3 linked regions of the Lepisosteus oculatus genome follow. The protein of the gene in region 1 purifies or fractionates together with the protein of each later gene. This does not show direct contact. Links are inferred from orthologs where the notes say so. Each region holds a gene or a part of one and is shown on either strand. Other genes may lie near its edges.

Region 1 (6,843 bases):
TGCGTGATGTTTGGAAGCCAGCCGTCTCCGGTCACAGCCCCCTGGCCTCTTCTCTTCCAGTCCTCCCCCCTCTCGGTCCTCTTTCCCCAGTCCCAGTGTGCGTTGTTACCAGCATGCCTTAGAGAATCAAGTACACACCAGGCCTGTTCTTTTTTTTTTATTATTCCCTAAACTTTTACTTTTCTCCGTCATTGTACGGACAGGTTGCTCTAGCGATCCAAAGATCTGAAACTTAGCCAATGTGTGCGGTCAGGGTACCCCCCACCCGACCGTTCCCTAATCCCATTAGTATTCCTGGGTCTGTCCGTTCTGCGCAGCCATGATTACTGAAGCCACATGCACAATAAAACCTTGCCATTTTTTTTGTTAATCATGGAATCTTCCCATCTTTCCTCCTGTCATCTCAGTATTGTCGCTTTGGCCTTGTTTTTGCCCTCTCCTCGCACGCCTCCGCCCTGTTTAACTGTTTGATCGTGCAGCGCAGAGACCGGTTTCTTTTCACAAAGAGATAGAGATCCACGGACATCTGGGTCCCCTTCCCCCCCGGCAGCCACGCCTTCCTAAACCTCTCAAGACGCGAGCCGTGATCGGGGGGCGGCTTCGATCAGCCCCCGGCCGCCTAGAAATCAAACTGCCGAAGAGCCGGGGAGTGAGCTCTGCTTTTCCGGCCAATGCCACCACGAACGAAAGAGCCGCTGGTACCTGAAGATTTTTCCTGAGGAGGACAAGACTAACTGCTCCAGTTAAAGTTCATTTCATTTTCCACAGCTCCACCCCAGTTAGTCCTGTTCCTCATGTTTCTGCGTTGTCCTTACCTAGCGACTTGTAGTTTGCTCTTCATACCAACAGACTGAAGTGCCCTGTGGGCCAGGTGGTGTGTTAAAGTAGTGAAATAAGAACTGAGGGCACTCCGTTCCGTGCCAGGGTGAGGCTTTTCCCCCCGAAAAAAATGTCACACGAAAAGCAGAAGGATGGTCTCGGCCTTCAGCGCTACAGGGTTCACCTGTTTGTCCATGCTTTTGTGGGAGAAATGCTTTTTTTTTTCCTGTTGTTTTGTTAACCTTTTTGCACAACTGAGGGAGGAGAAATACAAACTGAATTATTCTGGACTGGATCTCATTGCTAGCTTCATATACACTGGGAGTTAATGGCATTGTGGTACAAAGGGTAGTTTAAAAGACATAGGGACTTGACTGTAATAAGCCATTACATGGGTTCAGTTACTGTTTCTTTAAATGGAAGGGGTTCTGTGGCCACATGTTAGTGAAGGAAATAAAAAACTGAAAGGAAACCCAATTAAAGTGTTTTAATTGTAATTCTGACAACTTCAGCACAACACCCCAGCTATTAAGAATAATCCGTACACCACACAAGCCCATGAATTTAGTTTTTTTCCCGACAACTGTGTTGCCCAAGGTTTGGGGTACACTGAAACATGACAATTGTTTTAAGTGTAGTGGGCTTAAATTACAAAGGCTAATATGATTCCTCTTTATGACTGTTGTAATGAGCATGATAGCATTAGCTAAACATGCAAATGTATTGCATAAGTGCACTTGGCAGAATACTATCAAAGACTGTAGTTTTTGTTAAATGCTGTCGTATGCTCGTTCTGGTTTTCACCGAGGTTTGCCATTCGTAATGACAATGCTGAAATCAATCCATTGATTTTACACACGGCTCCTACTTGGAAAAAAACGTTCATATGAAGCCTCCGTGTCGCTCGGACTCAGCTCTGTGGAAACGTTTAGTGATGATCTCACGCTCGTTACATTCGCATTCTCGTCTCAATCCACCGCACTGTTACAAATGTCCAATTGTATTAGTCCACCTCCCACTAGAGACCTCTAGTGGCGTCTGTTGTCACTACATGTTTGTATAGGCCATCTGTGCAGATGGAACTGGTACACCTTTTACTAGGCCTGTAAGTGGTGTGTAACTGTATAGTTATAGTTTGAACTGGTTGTAAATGTTTGACCATTTTCCCTTTTGAAACTGCTCGTGTACAGAGACCAGGCGCGCTAGCAACATCATACTAAACAGGCATACTAAGACAGGTAAGCTGTTACCTTTTTTTCGCTGCACCAACTGAAACATGACACACGCAAAATCTTCATCCAAATTTCTTTGGCCAATTATTTCCAAATGTTATGGGTGTATTTATAGGACCAAGATAGCTGCCTGTCATTTTTCATTCTTGTACATATACAGACCATGACACTTACAGTAACTCCTAATGTTTAACAATTAAATCACCAAATAATTCCCAACATTACTGTTCCTGTTCAAAGGCTGGTTAGCCAGTTCACTCCAACCTTGGTAGGTATCACTCAAGTGGTGATATAGTTAACATTCATAGTGAAATGGGTTTCCTACATGAAATATAATGACTTTGTACCTTTTGGACCCACAATACGTTATTTGCCAGCAGCCATATCACCCTGCAGCTCACTGGAGCTCAGCAGGTGTGAGCCTGGTCAGTACCAGGATAGGTGACTCCTGGGAAAGCTAAGGCTGCTGCTGGAAGAGGTGTTAGTGGTACCAGTAGAGGACACTCACCCTGTGTGGGTCCTAATGCCCCAGTATAGTGACAGGGACACTATACTATAAAAAGGCGCTGTCCTTCGGATGAGATGTAAAACCGAGCTCCTGACTCTCTGTGGTCATCCCAGGGCGTTTCTCGAAAAGAGTAGGGGTGTCCTGGCCCAGTTTTCCCCTGGCCTTTACCAATCATGGCCTCTTAGTAATCCCCCATCTCTGAACTGGCTCAATCACTCTGCTCTCCTCCCTAGTGAGAGCTGGTGTGTGGGGAGTGTTCTGGCGCACTATGGCTGCCGTCACATCATCCAGGTGGGGCTGCACACTGGTGGTGGTGGTGGAGGGGATCCCCATTACCTGTAAAGCGCTTTGAGTGGAGTATCCAGAAAGGCGCTATATAAGTGTAAGGAATTATTATTATTACCATCTTGGCAAAGCACACTTTGTGCCAGGAACTGCCATTCCTCAAAAACTGGCCAAACCCTATCGAAAGGCTCCCAGCCTGACAAGGTTTCCTTATTCTGTTTCCCCCTGGTTTATCTGCAGTTCGCTCCCACTGTTAAAACGGGGACACAATTGTGTGGAAGATTTCAGAACTACTGGCCATTTTCTAGTTCCAAAATATACTTTGAATTTATCCATGTAAAACAAATACACGTTTACTTCAAGTTAAACCAAAGATTTGAACGTCATTTTATTTATTTTTTCAATATATTGCATGTAACTGTTTAAACAAGGGCTATACAAGCAAGTTTATCAACTGATTGAATGCCTGGCAGAAAACTCTTGCATAGCACACACGGTGTAGTTAATCCTGCAGAAAACAAATTCTGCTTTCTGGTAAATTTAGAAACGACACCCTGGTTCTTTTTTATCAGCACTGTCTTAGGAGGCTTTCCTACGCAAATGCCAACAAAGCTGCGTGCTTTGTTGAGGCACATCACATGCACGATGCAAAGCAACTTCACTGATCTGTTGTTACTGACAATGTCACACCGTGGAATTGAGGTGAAGGTCTTCCTTCCGCGGACTAATACATTTTAAATTAATATCGTACTTTACAAACACCCACAGTGAAGGAAAACGACGAATGCCTGAATTTATTCCGCTCAGCAGACAAATACTGCCGCTTTCAAGTCGCTAAGGGAAATTTGAAATGCTTGTAAAAAGTAACTATAAACCTTTTTTTTCCCTAACACGGCTTACGGATCTATTACAATACGAACATCATAGTTTTGTTTCCAAAGATCTGGTCGAGTGCTGCGCAGGAACGCGTGAGCGAGTCCGCGGTTTCCCTGGCAGCAGGGACGGAATTACGGTGAGCGCAGAACGGAAGTTGAGGCGGTTGCTGGTTTTTCACGACCAGCAGAAAACGGAATCTGGGGCAAGCGATCACTTTGACGAAACAGAACAGTATCGATACAACATTTTAAGAAAGTAAAGGGTTTGCCTGTCGTTTATCCGCCCGCTACCTCCCCCTTTCCCTCCCTTATGGCTTCTAACTCCAATATAGATATAGAGGACGCGACCCAGCATCTTCGGGACATCTTGAAGCTGGCCCGACCCGGGATTAGCGGTGAGTGCCGTGGGGAGGCGAGCCGGGAGAGGCCTGCAAGATTCGCTAGGCCGCAGAAGGGGGGTGTTAGTTACAGGGATGCGGAAAAGATACGGAGATACACCGAGAAGTGAAGCCGAAGTTCAAACACAAAATGCAAAACGATAAGGTGTTTCTAGCGACCAGCAGTAAACTCAACCCTTTTGCGCATTTTGTGTTGCCCGGGAACGCGTAACAGAAGAGGAGAACAAAACGACGTTAAATTGTCAGCTTCACGGGTGGGAAAAAATATATATTCGAGAGATTTGAGAAGTTGTTGCAATTGAGGGTCCAGAAGAAAATGCAGAACACGCCGAGAGGTGGTGATTTTGAGGCGGAGAGGGGGTGTACGAGAAGGGAGGAGTTTTCCGAGGTTCACTCCGCTGTTTTCAAACCTGACCGAACGGGAGAAACCCGCGACTGAAGTTTTCGTGTCTTTTCTTCTGCTCCGTTTCGTGTGGACTGAGACTCCAAAAGTCGCGAAATTCAGTTGTAACAAGTGCGACTGTTGTTTTTTTTTTTTGCGACGCGTTTCCCAACGGGAACGGGCGTTGCGCTGAGCGCGCATGTCAGATGTTACATAAAATTCAGATGTAGTTCAAAAAGAACAGTTTTGCAAGAAAATATGCATTCTCTACGTATCCCTCAAAATCCGTGAGCCCTTTGAACTTCCAAGTTTATTTAAAGGGCTCACTCCGAATTGTTCTCTAGTTTTCTCTGCTGGGCTTACACAAAGAAGTAAAATGCATTTCTGTGCGTGATCCTTGTTTGGGTTTTTTTTTTTATCGGTCTGTTGCATTGTCCTCACGACAAGACTTTCCTCCCCTCCCACCAGATACCTCTTCGACTGAGAACCCAAAGAGGTCTTTCAACGGGGAGCTCAATGGCCTGTTTGGCGCTGACTTCGTAGCCGCGGGTGACCGAGCTACCCTGGGCGAGCCCACTGCGCACAACCCGGAGAGCATGAGCTCGCACGAGAGACAGACCATGTAGGGGATGGGGATGGGTTGCTTCGATAACCATGATCACTTCCTTAATCAAAAGGAATGAATGCTTATGGGAATGTAAAACCGAAAGTGCATTGCTTACCTATTTGACTTCGAATCTAGAGAACGTTTAGCAAAGAGTCCTGATGCAGCCACTGAAGGCAATCGTTACTGCTTTAGGATAATGTTATCAAAGTATGAGAAACAAAACAGCTGCTGCCTTTTGTGTGAGCAGTTAGCCGTTTTATAATACATGTGCAAGTCCCAAGTTTAATACTGATTGCGGTAATTCCTGTACAAAGTTTTAAATCTGCTCCTTGCACAGAGCAGTACAAGGAGTGATTCTTTTATTTGATAATGGGATAAGCTGATTGGTTTTACTTCAACAACTGTAGATGAATGCAAGTTTCCTGTCGCCTCTTTTGTCAAACATTTAATGTGCAATGTGCACTTATTTAGGCAGTGGGCATGGCTATTAAAACTATCACATCACCCAGAGTGCTAGAAAGAGTGGCTTTGTTGATATTTTGTCTCTGCAACATTTGTGCTTTAAAGTGCTGCTACCTAAATGGTCTTTTTTCTTAGGTTACTAAGTCCACCAGTTTTGTTTTTGTCTGACAGCTGCCTCTCAGGAGATGACAGTTCAACCTGTATTGTCATTTCATCTGGGGATGTGGAGGTCGTGGCAAGCCATGACTCCAGCATCAACAGCAAAGCCAGGGGCAGCAACAAGGTAAATCATGTCTGTGTGTTTATGGCAAGAAGAAGCTGCAGCCCAGGCCTTCTGTCCAAAGGGCTGGACTTTGGGGTTTCATTTAGACTCGTTCTCTTGCAGGTCAAAATCCAGCCTATTGCAAAGTATGACTGGGAACACAAGTACTATTATGGCAACCTGATAGCGGTGTCCAACAGTTTCCTTGCCTATGCCATTAGAGGTGAGAAGTGCTTTCTTTCCCCCCTTCTTGGTAAAGTGATGGTTTCTGTACTTGCAGTGCAGTATGTGCCTGTCCAGCAGGCATTGCCAGACTGCTTCTGAAAACTGTTTGGAAACAGTTGAGGCGGTGTGGCTTTGTTGCTTGGTTACTATGCAGTGTGTTCAATAAACAGTGATTGTGTATAAATATGCCCTGCCGTTAGTCTTGCTATAGTAAAGACCTTTTGACACTTTTGGACTTAAGTGTTCCGTAATAAACATGCCCTCTGCCGTACTCTTAAAACTACAAAAAATACAAAGTCCTAGCCTGGTTTGCATTTGGGTTTGAATGTTGCGGGTAATCTGTGGGTGCCTTTTATGTGTGTTTTGAATGTTTAACACCCGCCCTCCTAGTATAATTCTTCATTTCCCTTTTAAACACATGCAAGAACCTTTCCGAGCCGTATCTACAGATCATCGGGAGTTTGAGATTTGCATAGCATGGAATTGGGAGGAGCTATGAAGTGTTCAGTAGGATCTGTTTTTAAACCCGCGAATGGCAACGCAGGTGAACTCTAAATTTGATGTTGAGTTTAATTCCAGGTCTAGTTTCAAAGGTCACGCCACCTGCCAGCGCTTGGCATATTTTAGCACGTTATTCTGTTTTATCTGTGCGCAGGTGCAAACAATTACCCCATGATCCGAGTGCTGTCGCTGAGCACGGCCGAGCGCACGCTTCTCAAAGGATTCACGGGGGCTGTCACAGACCTGGCCTTTGCTCACCTCAACTCCACCCAGCTCGCCTGCGTGGA
Region 2 (6,943 bases), on another chromosome or scaffold:
GTGGTGTGGGGAGAACCACCTGCAACTGAATGTAGCAAAGACTAAGGAGTTGGTGATACACTTCAGGAGGAAGAGGGTCCAACCTACTCCTGTCTACATCCATGGGAGTGGTCTAAGAAGGGTCAGAGCCGACTTTACTTCTTGAGGAGGCTCAGGTCCTTCAATGTGTGTAGTAAAATGCTACATCTGTTCTATCAGTCGGTGGTAGGGAGCGTCATTTTCTACATGGTGGTATGCTGGGGCTCTGGGATTAGAGCAGTGGATTCTAAAAGGCTGAACAAGCTCATCAGGAGAGCAAGCTCTGTCATTGGGTCTGGCCTGGACCCCCTGGAGGTAGTGACCGAGAGGAGAATGGTGTCCAAACTAGAGGCCATCATGGACAACGTCTCCCATCCCCTCTATGACAGGCTTGCAGAAATGAAGAGCACGTTCAGCAATAGACTGATCCATCTACGGTGCGACAGGGAGCGCTACAGGAGGTCATTCTTGCCTTCTGCCATAAGACTGTACGACGCATCCACCTTGCGTCTGGGCAGAGGCAACATTGACAGTGACGTTTCTGGACTGAACAGTAAACTGATACATCTGTTCTTTTTCTTTTCCCGTTTAAAACTGTTTTTGTGCAATATATGCCAGGGACCTGAGCAATACATTTATATTTATAATCATATTGTGCAATACGACTTTTTTGTGTACTGTTCTGTTCTTTGTGTGTTCTGGACTGTGAGTAACTCTTCTTAGTGCACTTCGCACTGTACTGATTGTATTGTATTATTATTATTGTATCATTCGTTACACTGTGTCTGTGTTGTCTGTGTTAAGCTGCTGTTGCACTCCAATTTCCCTCAAGGGATCAATAAAGTATCTAAAATACAGATAATTCAGATTAAAATCATCCCGCTTTTTCCAAACAGAAATAATCAAAAATTCATATTTAGGTTCAGAAAAGAATCCAATGTTGTTAAAAAATGTCAATGAAATGAATGTAAGAATTTAACAAAATAAGGAAATTCGTCAAGGATTTTTGGAAACATTGTCTGCTCTTAAGTTTACATAATGGCAGTAGATCATAATGGAAACGTACAAGTGAGAAAGAGACTAACACTGAAGTTAAATATTGTGTAAGCTCCTTTTGATTGAAACCTGAGTGAAAAGTAGTCTGAGACAATGCCTCCTGGAACCTCACCTAAAGGTGACTTCAGGCACCGGGCACTTGATCCCATTGTGAAAGGGCTGTCTGAGGGAGATGGTCTGGCTGGCCTGGTCCACAGCAGACACCTCTCCCTGGTACATCCCCAGCGTCTCCCCACAGTTAATGGACACCAGGCTCCCCAGCCAGTCCGCCGCCATCCTGGCCTGCAACACAACAAGTGGCTTTTCATCCAACTGTCGGAGCTTCTGTGCATCGTGCACTACAGAACTGAACCCAAAACAGTATTCCTGTTAAACAAATGGTCTTAAACACGGGAACTTAATTTGTCACAGTAGTTACAATACAGAATATATATAGTTGCCTACCATATCGTAGGCAACCTGAAAGTTTTATAAGTGTCTTGTCAGCAGAGTTGCTCTATCAAGCACGTTCCCCTGGATCTCTAATTTTCTTGGTGCAGCATCTTATTTTCTCTTACCTGTGGGAGGTTAATGAAGCAGCCTGATGCCAGAATACTGAGAGCAGGTAACAAATGCAATGCAAAGTTCCACTCAGAGTTCCCTGGGTGTTATAAAGGTCCAAACACACACTCCGCCCCCAGAACATTTTTTGGATTTAATCATATTACACTGTATACCATGCTTAAACTTCACTCTGAATTCTCCCTGCACTTCATACACCTCACAATTTAAATAAAACCAAAATCGCCAACAATCACTTCAAACAACACAGAGGCAGGTGCCTGGGGTTGCAGCTAAGGCTCTGGACTCCAGACCAGTCTTGGTTTCTCAGGTGAAGCTCTGCCTTCGCACCTGCAACCCTTCCACGTCCCTCGCACTGCCCCAGTAAATCCCCTGCTGTATAAACAGGTTTCTGCATGGTCAATGTAAATCAGAATGATCTCTATTGAATTTAACAGGTGAAAAATAAAAAAAAACAGTGAAGTACTAAACAAAACAATCATTACTTTTGTTTTGCAACTAAATGCACCAAACATGATTTTCTTAATCTAAAGGGAAAAAATGCAAAATCGTATCCACTGGATTCGAGTTTTATGTTGGTGGTGAAGAGACTGCATCCAGAACTGGGTTGATTCTTGACTGCTTACCCATGTTCGAAAGAATCCTCTAAACTCCCTTGCAAAGGGTTTCAGCAATAGCAGCCTCCGAGTGTACAAGACAACAGAAGATTGCTGTATCCACTATTGTACTGCAAGACCATATAACCATCAGTTTACCACATGCACCCCCGAGTCCAACAAACCCTCATATTCTTATACTGCATATTAGGACTACAAAAGTTTACAACACAATTGTATTGATGTACATGTGCATTGCTTGACGTACTGCTTCAGCATCACGCAAATGTTTTGCCTGGAGATATTTAAACCTTTTATTTAAAAAAAAAACTCAACTTTCTTATACTACTATGAAGAGGAGTTGCCGAGAGAAGGGCCTTCACATCAGCGAGCAGGACTAAAACACGGACCTGGTAAATAAACCAAGGAACAGACGGGACTGTTCCTGACTAAACTGCGTGTATATGTCAATAGTTGAAAATTGAATGTAGTCAACCAGGGCTCACTACAGCATTAAAACTTTACGTTGTGTGCTACTACTACACAGCTCGTGAGTCCTATGGCTACGTCTTTCCATTTTAACCACAAAAGACCATAACTCTAACCCATGTTCTAAAATAAAAAACAGACGAAATACCTGCTTTTTGCTCCTCTCAAAAACAAATGAATACAAATCTGCGTTTAACTGAAATATAAATTCTATTCTGTATGTTTCCAGACCCCGAAGGCTCCGCTTTAATAAGCACCACAGTTCTTCTCCCGCTGCGGGTCACTTCCCGAAGGCCTCTCTGCGACTGTGTACGTCACTTCCTGCGAGTCCTGTCCTTTCCAGTCATTGGCTGAAAGAGACAGGCTGCTCGCGTGGGGATGAATTCTGTAATTTCGGTAGTAACTATTCCTGCATCTGTTCTTTGCGTCTGCACACAGACTGTGTTCTCAGGGATGTGAGCCGTCTGTAGCTAGATGCTACTGAAAGCTAGCCACCTGACTTCATGGGCCCTCCAGATAAACATTTCCCATGTTTTTGACCACTGAAATAGGCATACGAACAAAGAGAATATTTGTTGATCAAAGGGATCAAATATAGATGAGAAAAAATGTGGTATATACTCTTATAAAATGTATGCAGTATGAGTTTAAGAAGATACTTTATAGAATGCATAGGCTACATGGAATAAGAAATTTGGTTCAAGTGTCGTGCGGGAAGCAAGTCGAAAAAACGTACACACTTTTAAACTCTGTGATATTATGCATTTATTCTGTTTTACGGTTACCGAACTATTTTCTCTACTGTAGCAGAATAAAATAAAAATGATCAACAAATCTCGCATCAAATGAGAAAGACTGACGTTTCTTTTTCTCGTATTGAAATAATTCTTTGGTTAGAAACAGTTTTTGAAATGTTGGTGCGTCTTTACGTGTTGGAGGACAGAAACCCGTGATGATCTGTCACATTGAAGGCTGAGAATATGGAACAGGATATGAAATGAAACCACTCGGAAGGGTAGAGAGAAGACACACAGCCCAACACAACTTCATGTCAAATTATCTGTAAATGGTTAGTGTTCTGCTGAAAGATTCAGAATACAAAACACGTTCCCCTTTGTTTTAAAGTTTGAAAAATCTAATTTAATTGGCGTGAAATACAAATGTTATAGGACACGATTTCTAGGTTTACACCGTGATATGATTCAGGTATTCAAATGGATGGTGCCGAGAAAGAAATATTTAAAGCTAGGGAAATATGGCTGAAATGGAGTAATAAAGAAATTAAGAAAAAAAGACAGCTCACACTACAAATTACATTAAGAAACCTGAGGTTAAAAATAAATGAACTTAATGCACAAATCAAAAAGTGACACTGACAAGAATATTGCATCAGAAGAATGTAAATATTTGTACATGCTATAAAACGAACTGTAAACATTGGAATATATAGTTGAGATCATATGGGTCTGATATTAGAAGATGCAATATAGTTTATGTGCTAGATTAAATATTTAAATGTGAAAATGTTGACTGTCACATTTGAGAATGAAAATGCAAGTCAAAATGTATTTAACTAACCTATTTAGTATCAGTGCTACACAATATAATTGTATGTCTATAAAAATAAGAAATAAAAAAGACCGGGTTCATGTTCAAAAGGTTTATTATTTCCATCCAATTTATTACTTTATCCCATTTATTATCTCACAGAGATTAAATGTTTTTAAAAAAACAGGAACTCCTCTTATACATGCTGTAAGCTTGATACATGAATGAGAGAAAATAGCTTGATATAAGCAAGCACAAACCAAAATCATTTAAAAAGAAATTACCATAACTTGCATATATTTTGTTCTACAAGATCAGCGTAACTGCAACAGCTTGGAAAAAGGTCCTTCATGATTGCGTAATAAAATTCACAGATACACCTGTTAACAATACAAATGGCTGTACAATTGGCTAGAATATGTTTTTAGACAGAAAATAATAAAAGCTATTTTTAAGTCAATAAGGTACAGTATAATTCAGTCCCTCATCCCACAATTTGTTACATGTACAAAAACTGATATTTTGTTCAGGACCTGTAAAAGCCCTTAAATAGGTAAGTGTTGTTTGGTTAAGTACACTGTCACATTCTGGGATAAATGCCCCTCCTGGCAGACAAAGCATCAATATGTTACTCCACATATAAATATATGGCAAAAAAGACGAGAGACCTCAAACCTGGGATGGCTAGTGTGACACTTGTGGTCAATATTGAATCTTTCACAAATAACTCTACATTCTACATATACAGGTTAAAAAAAAAAAGATTTGTTCGAAAGGCGCCTAAGACACAAAGTATATTTCCTATACAGTGTCCATTGTTTCTGGGGCTTAACTTTGAGTTGTATACAATTACAGACAACCGAATAACAAAGCTCTTCCACATCACCAGAACAGGTTACAAACCGGTGTAAAGGCAAAAAGCAAATCACGTGCCATAAATCTGCGTTTGGATACAAGTAGCAAAACGTATTCAACTAAATAAAGAATACAATGAAAATCCATTTGCAACTTTGATTTAAGACCTAAATTCAGATTAAAAACTGAAAATATCCCCTTACCTATCATAACAAGAGGAATAAGACAACAACATTGAAACTGGTGCAAAGCAGTTTTAGAAATGCGCACAAACTGGAAGCTTTTGATCTGAGGCAGCACAGAACTCTTTTGATGAGTTATTTCTGATAAAGGAGCAAAACCCAAATAAGAGATTTACAGCAATTCCTACAAAGCTAAAAATCCCTAGTTTCAACATTTAAATATCAGAGTAATAATAACAGATGGGTTCCATTTTATACACTTTTGAAGGCAGACATCTGTTTTTAATTTTATTTTTCCCCATCAGTTCTACCTGATGGAACCACTCATATACAGAATGAGATAAGTCACTACAAACTGATCAGCCATCTCTGAAGTCAGCTTTCACACATTCTTACAGACCTCCTGCTGTACTGAAACTATAAAGTTATTTTTCTTTTGAGAACTGGTTTGGAAGTTCAGATTCAAGTCAACTGGAGCTTCAGTTAGAATTAATTCTCACACAGTTGCTTGCAATTACATTTTGGCTTTTCTTTTGAAAAGCAGCCCTTTACAATTTAAGAAATCTGTTGTGTACTTTGTATTGGCTTCTTCTGGCATTCTAGTCTCAAGTCGAAGACACATAGCTCCTGTTTGAAAGCCAGACCGCTGCGTCAGCAGCTCAACGCTATCAACCTCCAGGAACAGCTAGACACGGAACAGCCATCGCTCCCAGCGCGGCGAGGTGCACTGCGGGCTCCACGGCCGCCAAGGAGCTCACTCCGCGCGCACTCTCAGGCTGGCACGCAGGTGGCAGCGCTTGTGCTTCATGGTGAGGCCGTACTCGGGCGTCATGTCCAGCTCGTGGTCGGGGAGGCTGTGGAATGTGAGCTTCTGCAGGAGGATGGCCAGGAAGAGGAAGACCTCGGAGCGCCCGATGGACTCCCCAATGCAGCGCCGCTTGCCCATCCCGAACACCATCACCTTCTCCGCCTCCATCTTGTTCACAGTCATGCCCTCAGCGTCCAGGAAGCGCTCTGGGCTGAAGGAGGAGGGGTCCTTCCACGTGATTCTAATGAAAGAAAAAACAGGCTCAACTTGAAACAGGGCAGCCAACTTACTTTTCTGAATGGATTTAAAGGGTGATGCACTACCAGCTTTTCATAGCATTTCACTTCTGTGCTACTTTTGTCCTGTATGTTCTGTGTCCTGAAGACCCGGCAAAAGGCTTGAAATTGTAGATTACTAAAGAAGTAATTTTGATGCCTACATTAGCACACTTGACCTGGACCTTTAAATAATCGAGACTGCCTTCACAAAGTTTCCTTAAAAATCATCTTGCACATTGTTCTTGTTGTCGCAGCAGGTGAAATTGTACCTGGTTCTAAGTCCCAGAGTTTGAACAGTTTGGTTTTATTTAAAGCTGTGCTGAATGAATACCTGTATTAGACAACCTCTGCCAAAACCATAGAAATAACTGTTTTATGTCAATTATGGAAATCCAACTAGAAGTGCTTGCAGATATTATTTAGCTGTTCAGTTCATTAAAAATAATGTTTATAATGCTGATTAAGATTACTTTTGTTCTACTTAAATATCTTAAAAATCCAATAGCAAAGGCCTTCAGGTATGGTCCACTGCAGAAAGCCACACTCACGGGT
Region 3 (6,832 bases), on another chromosome or scaffold:
ACCAGTTGAGGAATTAAGAAATTACTTCACCAGTTAAATTAAATGGAGGCCTTCAGGTAGGCCAGACTGGAGTAAACGACTCACCCCTGTGAACAGTGCCATGGGATTTTATTTAAAGTAGCCAGGACTTTGGTTTAACGTCTCATCAAAAGGACAACTGATCAATATAATTGTAAACTGGTTTGGAATATTCTGGCCAAATGGATGGATTTAGACCCTGCCTTGTTTACCCTCCATACTTATGAGACCAGAATACAGAGTGGCAAGACTGCTGTCAAAGATATCCTTAAATAAACTTTTGCAATTCCAGTTTCAAATAAAAAAAATAAATGAAGCTCTTCTAAATATGCTATGGAAATGCATCACAACGAGCAACCAATATTTTAAAATAATATACTGTGTATATTTCCAAGGTGAAAATAATGAGTTTATTATTACTTACCCGCAGCTCTGAAAATTCATAGTCGATGTACTCTCTCATCAGGGACAAGTGCAACAAGTGAAATGTTGTCTCTTCAGGTGTACTTATTCTATATAAAACAAAACACGCATAAGTGTCAAAAAGAGAAGGAGCAACATGAAATTCAAATATTAAATGGCACTGACTTATGCACTTGCCTTTTCTGTGACTTTTTACCACCAAAACGAACTTCTTCTCTCAAAAGAGAGAAGTGAGGTTCATGGCTTGTCAACCCAAGCATTATCTACATGGAAGAAGGAAAAAGAAAATGGTATAAATATTTAGCCAGCAGGTAAGAAAAAGTTACTTTAATTCTACTGGAAACATTTATAATTATTTTGCTCTGACATTTCATAACAGCTCTTAGGTTTACATTTTGGGAAGACCTTATACTACAATCTCAGTCTGTTAATGAGGGAGGTTTAGTGACAACTAAAGGTACTCATGATAGTTTTATTAGCATCCTAAAATTATTTAATAAGCACTTTTATAACGAAAGTTGTTCAATCCCGTAGTTCAATTTTTTTTAAAGGCAACACCTTTAAATGCTTAAAAGTCATGTACAATCAAATGAAAATGCATGCATTTTTCAAACTAAAAAATACATACCAGATCAGCATCCAAACCATAAAGACAGTGCCTGGTATTGGGGTCATGGTCTGGCCTGGCATTTTCTGACCGAATGAATTCCATGATTTTGTGTTCTCCTTCTCCAGGGGTCTGTACAGTAAATAAATAGCAGATTTGTGATCATAATACCTAGCATGGAAAACTCTCGAGACTGCAGAGGTACACCGGAACATAAATCACATCACGTATCGAATTACTCTGTTTCTCTATTTAATTATATACCTCATGACCGGAGAGGTAAACTCGCACCCTCTGCCATGATTTTTCTGTGGATATTTTGTTATGCACAAAATACTCCAGCTGCTCCTGGAGTCTGGCCATAAATTCTGTTCCTAAAAAAAAAAAGAGAAAAGGCATTTGAGGGGTACAGTACAAACATGTCAGAAAACAAGGCAAAAGATGAGCGAGGTGTCAACATAGCCCCAGCTGTGTAGTAGCTACCTGGAGTAATGCAGTTGGAGTCAAATCTAGCCTCTGTAGGAAGAACTTCTCCTTTCTCTAGGGCCTTCTTAATTTTATCTTCAGCTTCTTTTGCTGACCTTCAAATAAAACAAAAAAATAAAAACACTGCCCATAAAGTATCAACCTCCCAGACAGACTACCTTTGAATCCGTGGTACACGAAACAAACCGTGTTGTTACCTAAAGCGCCTTCCGCGCTGTTGGTTCATTTTTGCGCGAGGAGCCACTCCATCCACGGCCATGAAGAAGACCTTTCTCGGCTTAATGATACGAAACAGCACTTCCAGATAGTGAAAAATGTCGGCAAATATTTTCTCTTCTGAGATTCGGAAGTGCACGTCTTCATCATTGGGGTGGGAGCACTGATGAATAATGCCATTCATGTCCAAGTACAGGTTGTCAAATTCAGGAATCTGAAGCAAGGGACAGAAACAGACTGCCTTTAGCCTCTACCGGGCAATAAAGCAACATTAAGTCGGTCGCCTGCGCCTCAAAGTGAACTGCAACAATGTCGCTGTTTCGGCTGTAAAGTCTACGAGAGTGCGCTCTTAAATGAAGCTTTAAATATAAAAACTAATTTACAATATTTCCCAAAGCAAAATAAACCAACGTGTTAGCCGCCCTGGATAGAAGCTAAAAATAATAAATACATAGAAAAGGCGACCTCTGTAACGAGAGAAAGAGATAAGAATATCGTTTAGATGTATTGACTACAAATGCAACTATGAGGATTATTACTGGTTCTGTTCGCAGCAACAGGACAAAATTACATATTGAGCATGTTTTTACAAATCAAGTAAAACTGCTGTTGTCAGGGAGATACTAAAACCAAAATGTCTTATATTTATTGTATCTACTGTATTCAATTGCAGATGTTTCCGCTCATAAAACAACTTTAAAAAACAATTGCTTCTTAATGACAACAGTCATTTATGCGGTCTAAACTAAACAGAAAATGAAAACTCATACTGAAGCTCAATTATTTTATAGAAAAAATAAACAGACAGAGCTATGCAATTAAATCAGAATCAGAAGGAAGGGTTGTATGGTGTAACTCGTAAGGCCTATATATTCTTACCTGATGTTCCTTAACAACTTCACTCAAACAAGGGTATCTCTCCGAAATCCATCGGTAAAATTTCGGTACACCCATCCTTACCACAACCTCGTCCCGAGAGATTAAAAAAAAATGAATTGCAGTGTTGCAGTAAAAGTTTATATTCCTACGGAGGCCAGTTTTTATTTTTGCTTCTATGCCAGCGGGGAAGTGCGGACGGTCAATTCGAAATTGCTGTGACGTAAGACTGATATGGATACAGTACAATGCTAAAATAACAATTCATCAATTTCCACTAAAAGACTTGTAACGAAATTTCATTTTTTTCCTAATCTTTCGCCAAGATTAAATAAAGCAAGAGCTTTTTGTTCAAACGTTAAATTGTTTCCCTTTCTTATTATTTGTCCGACAAATAATCAGTCCCGGACTGCTTCGACTCACAGTAAAGGTTCCTATGGACTTTAAAACTGTCAATTACTGCCGTTGTGAGATTGTTAAATCTGCGGCGGCGGAGGAATAATAAATAAAAGTAATAAAACCAGTGCTAAATAAAATAAATATTAAGGTCATATTTAATCAAACACGGTGGATTAACAGTCCTTAAAACCGCAGACGACAATACAGTGGCTAGGATTGTCCACATTAGGACAAATAAAACTGCTGATGCGTGTCAGACGATGGGGTAAAGTAAGGCATTCAACAGAGGATAAAATCTAGAACCCCTTAGAATTCGGGTGTTAGAATGACAAAGGGCAACACCTGCACTATTCCGGAAAAGACGGCTCAACCTCGCCATCTCGTCAAAAAGACTGTGTGATACTGTTCGGTTTACTGAAAGTGAACTTTATTACACATACTTTGACCAATTGGGCTAGTATTTTGCCCGCACCAGTTCAACACAACGATGCCGAGTGATTAGCGATTTATTAACTGTATTTTTCGTGATTGAAGTTTTGCCATGTTCAACAAAGTGGATGTCAGTTGAATGGTAACGTTTTAGTGTTTCTGTTAAAGGAACGCGGATGTCAGTTGAATGATTTTTTAGAGAATGTTCCTGTTAAATTAAAATTATAGTAACAATAGTAACATCTTAGAAATGCATTTTGAGATAAACATTTAAGATGCCTTTGTAGTATTTCATTTTTCGACCTTCACTGGAGAATAGAAAATCTGTTACATAACTGGAATAAGAAGGCCAGAATTAAACTGCACTTAGTCAAACGTCGTGTCTGTATAATAACAGAACTTATCCAGGAGATACGGGATATTTCATGAAGTCCTTCAAAAAGTGATGAGGGGGAAATTCATTCAGGAAGGCTTTGGAGGGACTATTGTTATAAGAAAGTTTTGGTAATTTGTGTGGAGCACTAGATTACACTAATTTAAAAAAGAACAGGTTTTCAGTAAATAAAATCAAAAGATAATGTTACTTTTCTGCTAAAAGATTTTTTAAACATGTACATCTCTCAAGAAGTTCACCACAAGAATCCAAGACAGTGTTTACAACTTGTTGAGATTTTTCAATGTCTCTCTGAGCTACAGTATGTCTCAAACCCAGACAATACTTCAAAAGAAAGAGCTAAAGATCTTAGTTAAGAAATCAGATCTGAAATTAAGGGAGGTGCTTTGAAAATTTTTATAGAACTCTTTTATTATTGTGGTTATAATGTAACACGTGAATTTACATAACAGAAATAATGTCAATAATTTCCAAACAGATTTGAACACCGCAAAGAAATGAACACGCCAGTAGAAACATAAATGTTTTTAATAAAAGAAAGTGAGGAATGAATTTGCCCTGAATAATAAGTGCTTATTTGAGACACCAAACATGGTCACAGGTAGGGAGCCCAGCCCAGGTACATGAGACAAAGCAGTTTCTCATTTGTGGCTTCATCGATGAGGTAGTGAACATGGCCTTCAATGGATAGAGGCAAACCCATCACCTTGTTCCTGTTCTTGATAACCCCCTGCAGCCTCTGCTCTATATCAAGGACATGGGTCTTCGCCTACAGAAAACAAAGAGCAAATGTCAACAGTGCAGGTATTTCCAAGATGCTACCACTCGACAATTCTGTCAGAGAAAGTTCAGGTATTGCTGTGTACAGGAAATACAATAGACAATTCAGTGATTGCGTTTGACACCTGTCAAATTCATTCACCCTGGCTTGAAACAGGAATTCAGAATACAACATCACATCACAGTTGTCTGTGAAACGGCATACCTTTTCATTAAGGATTTCTCCGGATTCATTGACGTGGGCTTTTGTACCTCCCTTAACAGGTTTACTCCACTCCACCAACGGATCATGAAGGAAGGTCTTCAAGACACTAAGAAGTTGGAAAGAAACGAGCACAAAGTTCAAACACTGTACTTCATGAATGGAGATTACTCAATGTGTGTAAACCCACAGAGGGAGGAGGTTCCTACCTCATTAACGGCTCCCTCTGATCCCGCATTAGTCGGAGGGTGACCTCACAGGCTTGGCGGAACAGACCCTCAGTTCCCATGGGGCCCATGGCGTGAACCATATTCTGTGTCAGTCGGAAAGGCACTACTTCTGGGACTTCAAATGTTTCACCCTATCACGGAAAAGAAAAGGCTCAAAATTCCCTGCATGCACAAAATGAGCACCTAAAACACGGTTATTCATTGATGTCATTCCTTTTTTCCTTATTGTATAGGGGTTCCCAACCTCCCAATAAGGACAAGCAACATTAGCAGTAAATCAGATTGAAACAAAGAATATAAATTATTCCCTGAAATATATTTGCTGAAAGAAACTGGGCTTAATAACACCTTAAAAACCTTTATAACAAACCTATGCAAAGGACAAAAGTTTGTCTTTAAGGCCTTTGAAGGATTTAAGAATAGAGGAATATGGCTCAGGTGTCACCACTTGATTGTAACAGAATTCCAATTGGAACATACTTCACAAATGAGGGGAGACCATATAGCTAGGTTGGTTTTCTATCACTAGGGGGTTTGAGGATGTTTTGGTGAAAGAAACTTCGGTACTATCTTTGACAGCCCATCTGGGTAGTTTGTTGCAGATGTCTAGCGTATCCACTCCATTTTAAAAGCAATTCCCTTATTTTTGTCTGTGCAGCATTCAGAGGTTGAAGTCATGAGCCAAGTCTTACAAGGCAGGTGCCAGATTGGGTGGGTATATGATAAAAACACACCTGAGGTAATATGCGCACACACCTTATTAAAGAGACAGTTGAAGTCCACATGCACACATTCTCCTGTTAAAGAGTCAAACAGGATGTTTTCTCCATGTCGATCCCCAAGTCCCAGGATGTAGCCCACCATTGACATCACAGCAATGGAGCGGCAATATGCAGATCTACTGCTGTACCTGTAACGAGACACCGTTCCAGGAACTTGCGTTACATTAAAGTGATACGGTTTCCCTCAAATTGTTTGAACAATTTAAACAGATGGAATGGTACAAACCATGAAGTAGGATCAGGGAACGTTCTAAGGAACCACTCATAAAAGACTGGAGGGTGTCGGGGAACGAGAACATTTTTGTGCAGTTTCAATTTTTCCATAAAGGGGGCAGATTTTGGCAACATGTACTTGCGTAACTCCTTTCCACTTAAGTAAATGCCTGAGGAAAAGCAGATCATTAAAATATTTAAGTGAGAAAGAAGAAAATAAGTTAAGGTGAAAGTCTATCATCATTCACATGGGTACTAATAAACTGCAAAATACAGTATGTCATAATATGAAGACCATAAAGATTTTCAAGTCTAAATGTCAATGGTGGTTTACTCATTAGTTTCTCTTCTCAATACATATTTCAGAATTTCCCCTTTAAAAATGTTTAAAATGAGATAATTTTCCTGATACACCCAAATGCCTTTTTTTCAATTCTAGCTTCAGAATCAAATATTTTCTCTTCCCATTTAGTCCCATCTAACTATATAACAATGTAAATATGCAACCATCTAACCATGCACCATGTAATAGCATGACTTTTTAAAATAGTGTTATGTTACACAGATCTAATCATATAAACAAACATCACAGTGTTATGTACAGGTTTTTGATGCAAACTGACTTCTGAAATTATAAGTGTATTCCATGAATTGGCACAATTATAGTCTACATTTATTTTAAATCACTTACAGTATGTGTCAGTTTCCACAATCTAAATTTAAGCATCACTTTTGATTTGCATTACTTCTGAAATAACACATGACTGAGCACGTCCT

The links. The genes of interacting proteins can lie anywhere in the genome.
Region 2: the proteins of edc4 (region 1) and edc3 purify together in Homo sapiens (affinity purification with mass spectrometry; 6 studies listed by BioGRID and IntAct, with this or other methods). This does not show direct contact. The link is inferred for Lepisosteus oculatus from reciprocal best matches to the Homo sapiens genes EDC4 and EDC3.
Region 3: the proteins of edc4 (region 1) and xrn1 purify together in Homo sapiens (co-immunoprecipitation; 4 studies listed by BioGRID and IntAct, with this or other methods). This does not show direct contact. The link is inferred for Lepisosteus oculatus from reciprocal best matches to the Homo sapiens genes EDC4 and XRN1.

Annotation. Positions count from the first base shown.
Region 1 is NC_090715.1:3,978,624-3,985,466, forward strand, and holds the start of edc4 (enhancer of mRNA-decapping protein 4), read left to right. Parts: upstream 1-3,828; 5' UTR 3,829-4,029; coding exon 4,030-4,114; intron 4,115-4,967; coding exon 4,968-5,121; intron 5,122-5,739; coding exon 5,740-5,851; intron 5,852-5,953; coding exon 5,954-6,053; intron 6,054-6,710; coding exon 6,711-6,843. UniProt on the Homo sapiens protein: In the process of mRNA degradation, seems to play a role in mRNA decapping. Component of a complex containing DCP2 and DCP1A which functions in decapping of ARE-containing mRNAs. Promotes complex formation between DCP1A and DCP2.
Region 2 is NC_090700.1:56,696,009-56,702,951, forward strand, and holds the start of edc3 (enhancer of mRNA-decapping protein 3), read right to left. Parts: upstream 3,011-6,943; 5' UTR 2,869-3,010; intron 2,477-2,868; exon of another isoform or gene 1,632-2,476; intron 1,357-1,631; 5' UTR 1,351-1,356; coding exon 1,187-1,350; intron 1-1,186. Other genes in the region: cyp1a (cytochrome P450 1A1), read right to left, coding at 6,060-6,354, 6,940-6,943. UniProt on the Homo sapiens protein: Binds single-stranded RNA. Involved in the process of mRNA degradation and in the positive regulation of mRNA decapping. May play a role in spermiogenesis and oogenesis.
Region 3 is NC_090708.1:15,748,362-15,755,193, reverse strand, and holds the start of xrn1 (5'-3' exoribonuclease 1), read right to left. Parts: upstream 3,011-6,832; 5' UTR 2,705-3,010; coding exon 2,630-2,704; intron 1,965-2,629; coding exon 1,732-1,964; intron 1,630-1,731; coding exon 1,532-1,629; intron 1,423-1,531; coding exon 1,313-1,422; intron 1,181-1,312; coding exon 1,070-1,180; intron 705-1,069; coding exon 619-704; intron 531-618; coding exon 443-530; intron 1-442. Other genes in the region: serine/threonine-protein kinase ATR, read right to left, coding at 4,444-4,617, 4,834-4,939, 5,040-5,191, 5,817-5,970, 6,069-6,225. UniProt on the Homo sapiens protein: Major 5'-3' exoribonuclease involved in mRNA decay. Required for the 5'-3'-processing of the G4 tetraplex-containing DNA and RNA substrates. The kinetic of hydrolysis is faster for G4 RNA tetraplex than for G4 DNA tetraplex and monomeric RNA tetraplex.